2 linked regions of the Mus musculus genome follow. The protein of the gene in region 1 interacts with the protein of each later gene in a pairwise test. Links are inferred from orthologs where the notes say so. Each region holds a gene or a part of one and is shown on either strand. Other genes may lie near its edges.

What was found. The genes of interacting proteins can lie anywhere in the genome.
Region 2: the proteins of Trim23 (region 1) and Cox5b interact in binary tests that used the Homo sapiens proteins (3 or more experiments, as listed by UniProt). The two-hybrid records come from large-scale screens. The link is inferred for Mus musculus from reciprocal best matches to the Homo sapiens genes TRIM23 and COX5B.

Annotation. Positions count from the first base shown.
Region 1 is NC_000079.6:104,199,331-104,202,978, forward strand, and holds part of Trim23 (E3 ubiquitin-protein ligase TRIM23), read left to right. Parts: intron 1-738; coding exon 739-863; intron 864-1,900; coding exon 1,901-2,080; 3' UTR 2,081-3,648.
Region 2 is NC_000067.6:36,690,062-36,693,935, forward strand, and holds Cox5b (cytochrome c oxidase subunit 5B, mitochondrial), read left to right. Parts: upstream 1-1,425; 5' UTR 1,426-1,525; coding exon 1,526-1,628; intron 1,629-2,149; coding exon 2,150-2,223; intron 2,224-2,389; coding exon 2,390-2,489; intron 2,490-3,135; coding exon 3,136-3,248; 3' UTR 3,249-3,327; downstream 3,328-3,874. UniProt on the Homo sapiens protein: Component of the cytochrome c oxidase, the last enzyme in the mitochondrial electron transport chain which drives oxidative phosphorylation.

The DNA.
Region 1 (3,648 bases):
CCATCTAGACTTACTTCACACCTGGCTCCATTCTACACTTTTGTGCCCCCTCCCATGAAGTATTACATACACCTATTTTATAATAATGGTGATATTTCTATTCCTTAAGATTATAGTTTTCTATGCTACTATTTTTTTTCACGTTTTTGAGACAGTATGTAGGCTTACCTGACCTTGAGCTTGCTATGTAGACTAGGTTAGCCTCAAATCATAAAGATCCATCTGTCTCTGCCTCTTGAGTGCTGGGAATAAAGGTGTGGGCTACCAGACTCAGCAGTTTTGTTGTTGTTTTTAACTTTTTAAGTTAACATACACAGTAATGAGTTTCATTATGGCATTTTTCATATGTATGCATCATTAACACTTCTCCTTCCTCCTAGCGGTTTGCCTTTCCCTAAAGAGCTCTCACTCTGCTTTTGTAAAGAACAGGCAGCCTTAAGGGAGATCTTAAGCACATTTTCAGGGGACAGGTTCTGAGGGACAGGTGTTTTTTTTTTTTTTTTTTTTTTTTGGTAGATTCAGTTTTATAAAACCTGTCAGAGGAGGAGAACCTGTGAAGCTATCTAAACTCTTCCTGAATTATTGCTTTAAGGCTTTAAGTAGTGACATTAAGTAGGTAGGTAGCCTTTAAATGAAGATAGGGTAAATAAGATTTAGCAAGAATAATGAAAGCAATTAATACTTTTTAATTTACTTAAACTTAATAAATAACTTGAAAATTTCTGTGTACTTTTGTAGCTGTTGTATTTGTTGTTGATAGTAGTCATAGAGACAGAATTAGTGAAGCACACAGTGAACTTGCAAAGTTGTTAACGGAAAAAGAACTCCGAGATGCCTTACTCTTGATTTTTGCTAACAAACAGGTAATGAATTTTTATATCAACATTTATTACTTTGGTAGTTTTGCATATTCCATATCATAAGTCATTTGAGAAGATATCAAAGAATCAATAGATACTTGTAAATTTCTGCTGTGGAAAATGTTACCTTCGATATTGTAGAGTATATGCACATACAAATCAAGTAAATGCATTCTTGTGTGTTCATGCTATATTCTAATATATATAAATTAGGACATCACTTCAACAATATTAATAGAATGCTGAGACGTAAGGATAGACCTATTCTAAATTAGGTTGTATCTTAAAGTATGTAAAAGTGGATTTAGGTAGATCAGGAGTTTAGATTGGCCTGGCATATATGGCAATCTCAAAGCTAGCCTGAGTTATGCATCAAGACCTTGTCTCAGAAATAGGAAAAGCTGGAGCTGAGTGGCAGTGCTCCCATGTAACATGTAACATGTCCCATGTAACATGTGCATGGCCTTGGTTTTGATCCTTTGAATGGTTTATAGTGGGGGATTCGGTCATATGATTGGAGTTTAAATTATGATAGGATTGAACTTACAGATGTATTTGAGTTTATATGTGAAGGAATAATATTAACAGGAAGAGAAACAGTAGCATAGCTAGTTTTAGGGAGCATCAAACTAACTTATATATTAAATTCAGTTAAAGGATGAAGAAAACCTAGATTAATAGATCTGGTCATGGAATAGAATAAAAAAGTTAATACTTTATTTTGTAACATTTTTAAAAAAAAATTATTAATCTACATTCCAAGTGTTGCCTCCCTTCCTGGTTCTCCCCTTTGCTTCTGAAAGGTGCCCCGCCACCTACCCTATCATAGCTGTGATTGATTTCATTATTTATTCCTTAATATATATAGATATTCTAACCAAAACATTTTCTTAATTCTTTTAGTTAATCTTAGAATCTGAAAATGAATTTTGGTTTTGTTTAGGATTCAATCACAGTGTTACCAGTAGTTTTCTATACAATTGGTAAGAGTTAGAAAAATGATTCCTTGATTGATAGAAATCACTCTATGTGTTTTTTAGGATGTAGCTGGAGCACTTTCAGTAGAAGAAATCACTGAACTTCTCAGTCTCCATAAACTATGCTGTGGAAGGAGTTGGTATATTCAGGGCTGTGATGCTCGAAGTGGAATGGGGCTCTACGAAGGGTTGGACTGGCTGTCCCGGCAACTTGTGGCTGCTGGAGTGTTGGATGTTGCTTGATTTTAATGCAGCAGTTGTTTCATGCTTATGGTTAACAGTTACTTTGCATGTGATGCATTCTAAGAAATTCTACATCTCAAATGTGATAATTAATTTAGTATGTGTATATATGAATCCTGGACTGAGAAATGTACCATTGTTTTTAAAAAGTACTCTGTGGCAAATTTAAATGACCCTGTTACATTGGTTAAATGGAGGTTTCTTGGATATACACTTTTAAAAGGTACATTAGGCATTGGAAACTTTCAGTGTATATATGTCCTTATATTGAGAGAGAAGTGGTCACAGACAATGAGTAGAAGGTCCTTTATTTTAGTGAAAAAACAGCCAGTGGAGTGCCTAACAGAGCTTAAGGAAGTATGGCTTTACCCCACCTTTTTATTGTTTTTGGCCATTGTGTACTAGAATTGAAGCTATATTGGGGTAATAGGATTGCTTTACTTCCACATTTAGCATAACATCCTTAGTGCTGGGGTCCATAAAACATAGAAAATCATTTTTTTCTACAATTTTATTATAACTCTCTCCTAAAGCATTTTGCATAACGCACAGTGAGAATGAAATGTTACCTAAGTGGACCTGATCATTAGACCAGAACTAAATTAAGAACAATAAAACTGTGAAAGTTGTTTGATCTTCACTCATAAGAACCATTTCCAGGACTGGGCCTAAGTTTATTTCCCAGGTCATAGCCCTAAATTGCTCCTTTATTTGTTCAACACATTTTCTTAGGCTAAGTAATGTGCATCCTTTGTTGGTAAAGTGTCGTAAGTCACATGAAAAACCTGTCACCTTTACATAAACACATTGAGACCTAAATAGGAAACTACCTATACCTTAGGAAAGGTTTTTCAAACAGTGGGAATGCTAATTTCTTTAACATGGTTTTCCAAGTTAAGTGCATTTACTTGACAATAAAAAGGATCAAGGCTCTTTAGGACAAGGTCTCAGTTAAAAGGAAGAACATGTCTAAAGTAAAAGAAACTTTTATAAAAAGTTTACATTTACTATGGCAGTGTTGTGAATAAAAATTAAATTTTGTGTTCTTACAGTTTATTTGTAAAAGATACTCTTATTATGGAAGCATGATTTCTTATATTTAAATAGGTAGATCTCCTGTTACTAATGCTCTTTAAGATGAAGTTGAGAGCTAAATCTTAGTGCAATTGTTACAAGGACAGTGATTTTTAGGTGGCAATGTTCTGGTTCAGTTTTTTCAAATATACTTTTTTTTTTTTAAACTTAGGAGCCAGCACTATAAAAAGCCCATCAAATATTATGGGCAGTATGTAAATAAAAATATAATAATTTGCCATTTTTCAAGAAAGTAACCGGTCACGCTGTTACAAGTAGTTTGTATGCATATGTAATACTTTGTAATTAAATTATTTAATATTTGACTGATTTTAGTAACTGTGAAAAATAAAGATGTTGCATTTATTTGTGAGACTTTGAATTGTTTTCTGTAGTAGGTAACTGAAAATATGTTGACACTAAGATGTGAACTTGCTTTTCTTGTAAATTAAGAACTTTATTATTTCTCTAATTTTGTTAAACTTTGTAGTTCT
Region 2 (3,874 bases), on another chromosome or scaffold:
GGAGCTGGCTGATGGGGCTGACTGGGGTTTTCCCTCTTAATGTGGACACAAATCAATAATGGGTTCATTGGAGGAAAGATGCCTTGAATTAGGAATTAATCCAGATGATTGTAGTGGAGACAAGGAAGTAAAAATGAAAACTATGCAAAGTGTAAGCCCATCTTCACAGTCAAGAAATTTGGTGCCTCATTATAGGCTATTTTTTTTTCTTGGTTGAGGGCAGCCATGAAGACCAGGTTAGTTCCTCTGAAGGAATGTTCCACCAGACCCTTTTGAAAATAACCTACAAGGGGTAGGTGACAACACCCAGGAATTTAGTCCTTTGTAGTTTTCCTCAACTTGACCTTTTGTAGTCACAAGCTCTATAAACTATATTTTTGGTCCAAGCGGCAGGATTTACTAAAAGTCATTTGATATTATTATGTCAGGCCTCTGCAAGGTACTTAAGATTTCATCACTGGGACGCAATTAGGGAAGCATAGATACTGTATGCAGCCATAGTGTTTCAGGAATGTTCCACAACGAGAATAAATCGAAGAAGCCAGTGTTTGGAAATCTAGTGAACGCTCTGCCGTGAGTTGTCAGGCTTTACCTGTGTGCAACACTGAGCAATGGAGGACGTTTTCTGTCTAAATTAGAGACTTCTGGCCACGGTGCCTATTGTCATTTCCAGTTGCATTATTAACTTTCTTTCTGTCCCTCCTCCTCCTAGTATCCTCATCGTGGTGGAGTGGCCATCAGGAGGTATCCTACATCTATGCCTCCAAAGCCCTTCTGCACCGCACCCCCCGCACCCCCCTCATCCTTGTCCCTGGGGCCAACACCATCACCTCCCATAACATTACTATAGGAGGAAAACTGAGGACGGTGCAACAGCTTTAATCCCAGCAGAGGTAACCAGATCTCTGTGAGCTTTAGACCACCCTGATCTACATAGGGAGTTAAAGGTCAGCCAGGCTACATAGTGATACCGTGCTTAAAAAACAAAACAAAACAGAGTGGAGGAGGGAATTGAGGCTAAGACTGTGTGTGTGGGGGGGTGTACTGTCAATTTCTGACGGAGTGGGCCATTGCAACAATTTGGTAACAACTAAAGCTGTCTGCAGTCTCGAACCCGTGGCTAACAGGCATAACAAACACAACAGGCTTCCTGAGCTCACGCCCAAGGTTGTATGATTCGTGGTGGAAGCCCTTGACTGCGGGAACTTCGGCTTCCACAGCACCTCCACTACAAGAACTACTATGTGGCTGGGACACTGGGCGCGAACACTCAAGCGGACAGGTCATGAACCCGAAAGCCGCTAGCTGTCAGGGTGACTGACGCCACGCCCCGGAGGCGGCGGGAGTCTGCGCGGCCCACGAAGAGGCAGAACTGCGCATGTGCGGCGTCTACTTTTAGCGCTGCTTCGGCTGGTCGGGGCAGGAAGCGGAAGACTGACCGGGCGTTGTTAGACTCCCACCAACGGAAGTCCCGCCCATCTTGCTCAGCCTGTTCCCGGAAGTGCATCTGCTTGTCTCGGGCGAGATGGCTTCAAGGTTACTTCGCGGAGTGGGCGCTTTGGCGGCGCAGGCCCTGAGGGCCCACGGCCCCCGTGGCGCGGCCGTGACCCGCTCCATGGCTTCTGGAGGTACGTGACCAGCTGGGCGGGACAGGCCGGTGTCCATGGCCTCCGGCGTGGTTGGTGATGGGCGGTCGAGCGGGGTCGGCCATTAGCGTTCTCTCGAGCCCTGCTGACCACCTTAGGCTCCGGGAGCCGGCGCTCTGTCCGGTCTTGCTGTAATTTCGGCCGCCCACCCGATCGAACCCGCTTTCAAAGTGCCCTCACTGGAAGGTGCCGGGTGACCTTGGAACACAAGGACTTGGAGGGCTGAAAAAGCGCTGGACCAACATTCAAATCCCTTGCCCGCCACCAGCCAGTATACTCTCATGACTTGATTGTAGGGAAAGTCGACAACCAAGCTTCCGCGGTGGGAAGGGAAAAACGGTATGGCTTGGGAGTCATGCCTCAGTGGGCTTAGGGGACTGTGGGAATGGGTAGCTTGGGAACCCACCAAAGAAGCGGATAACGTCACCTTTCCCGTGTTGATCTTTTTATCGTGTATCCATCGTGGTCATATCAATTGCCGTAGCTCATTTTTCTTCTTCTAGGTGGTGTCCCCACTGATGAGGAGCAGGCTACTGGGCTGGAGAGGGAGATCATGATAGCAGCACAGAAGGGACTGGTAAGGAGAAATGCTGTGTCCTCTGGAGCCCTGGGGCTTGGATGGGATTAGAGGAGTTCCTGTCAGCCAGCGTCTGGTCCTGACAACCCAGCTTGTAGGAACGGCCCTTTTGCAGTGCAGTGGCAGGCGTTATCTGTCATAAATAGTCAACTCTTGTCTCTTTCAGGACCCATACAATATGCTACCTCCAAAGGCAGCTTCAGGCACCAAGGAAGACCCTAATCTAGTCCCGTCCATCAGCAACAAGAGAATAGTGGGCTGCATCTGTAAGCACTTTGTTTTTATTTTCTGGCCCATTTGTTTATAACCTGCCTCACAGAATGTCTATAAATTGCTTCAGATATGTGTGTATGATGGACTGTATGTGTGTAAAAATGTAAATATGTGTATACATTGTTGTAAGGGTTGTTGACTGTCTTAAGTCTCAGTATGCATGAGAAGTCACAGAAGGCAGATGACCCTGGAGCTGTAGTTACAAGCAAGGCTGTGAGCCACTTTGCTGTGGCTACTGGGAATTGAACTCAGGTCCTCTGGAAGAGCAGTCCATGCTTTTAATTGCTGAACTATCTTTCCAGCCCAGATTATTTACACACACACACACACGTATGTACATACATATGCCAGGTACTGTTTGTTTCAAGCACTAGGGATACACATGAGTACAGATCCTGTTTTGGAATTTTGCATAGGGACTGGAATTGTTAGAACCTACAGTGACCCCATACAAGGTTATCTTACTCACAGGTAAATGCATCCCCGCTTTTTCATTTGAAGGAGCGGAGCGTGAAGTGGTCTCCTAGTCAGTGGCAGTTTTGTTGCTGTGTCCGAAGTGTCTGTAGGAAAGAGGTGAATGCTGAAAGCCTCCCTCTGTACATGGACGCTGGATGACTGTCAACCGTCTTTCCCTTTCAGGTGAAGAGGACAACTGTACTGTCATCTGGTTTTGGCTGCACAAAGGCGAGAGTCAGCGATGCCCCAACTGTGGAACCCATTACAAGCTGGTGCCCCACCAAATGGCCCACTGAGCCCCTGTGTTATCTTTTCAGAATGTAAAGAAAAACTTCTCTCTAATAAAGATTAGCCATTGCACTGGCTCCTCCCATAGCTGGCTAGTCTTATGTCTATAGTCTTTTTTTTTTTAATATATATATATTGAGACCACCTATCTCTTAATACTAGTTTGGCATCCACTTAGAATGTAAAACCAGTATAGAATTGTTAGAATTTTATTTTTAAAAAATTTTAAACTTTTTGTTGTTGCTGTTATTTGTTTGCTTTTCGAGACAGGGTTTCTCTTTTCTCTGTGTAGCCTTGGCTGGCCTGGAACTCACTCTGTAGACCAGGCTTGCCTTGACTTCAGATTCTGAGTGCTGGGATTAAAAGTATCTGCCACCACAGCCTGGCTAAAAATTCTTTTAAATTTTAACTTTTATATAATGTAGAGGGGGCAAAAACCAAGGGGGATTGTTAGGGGCAAGAGCAGTGACAATATGCTGACCTTGCTCAGATCTTCATGGTTCCGTTTTGCCCTGCTAATGACTGAATAACTGGGCCATATGCTACAGAGACACTAACCCTGACGCAGGACTTAGGGGAAGGACGTTACAGAGCTCCAGCCCACTCTGTCCTCCAGTGAGAACTGTCACTGTGA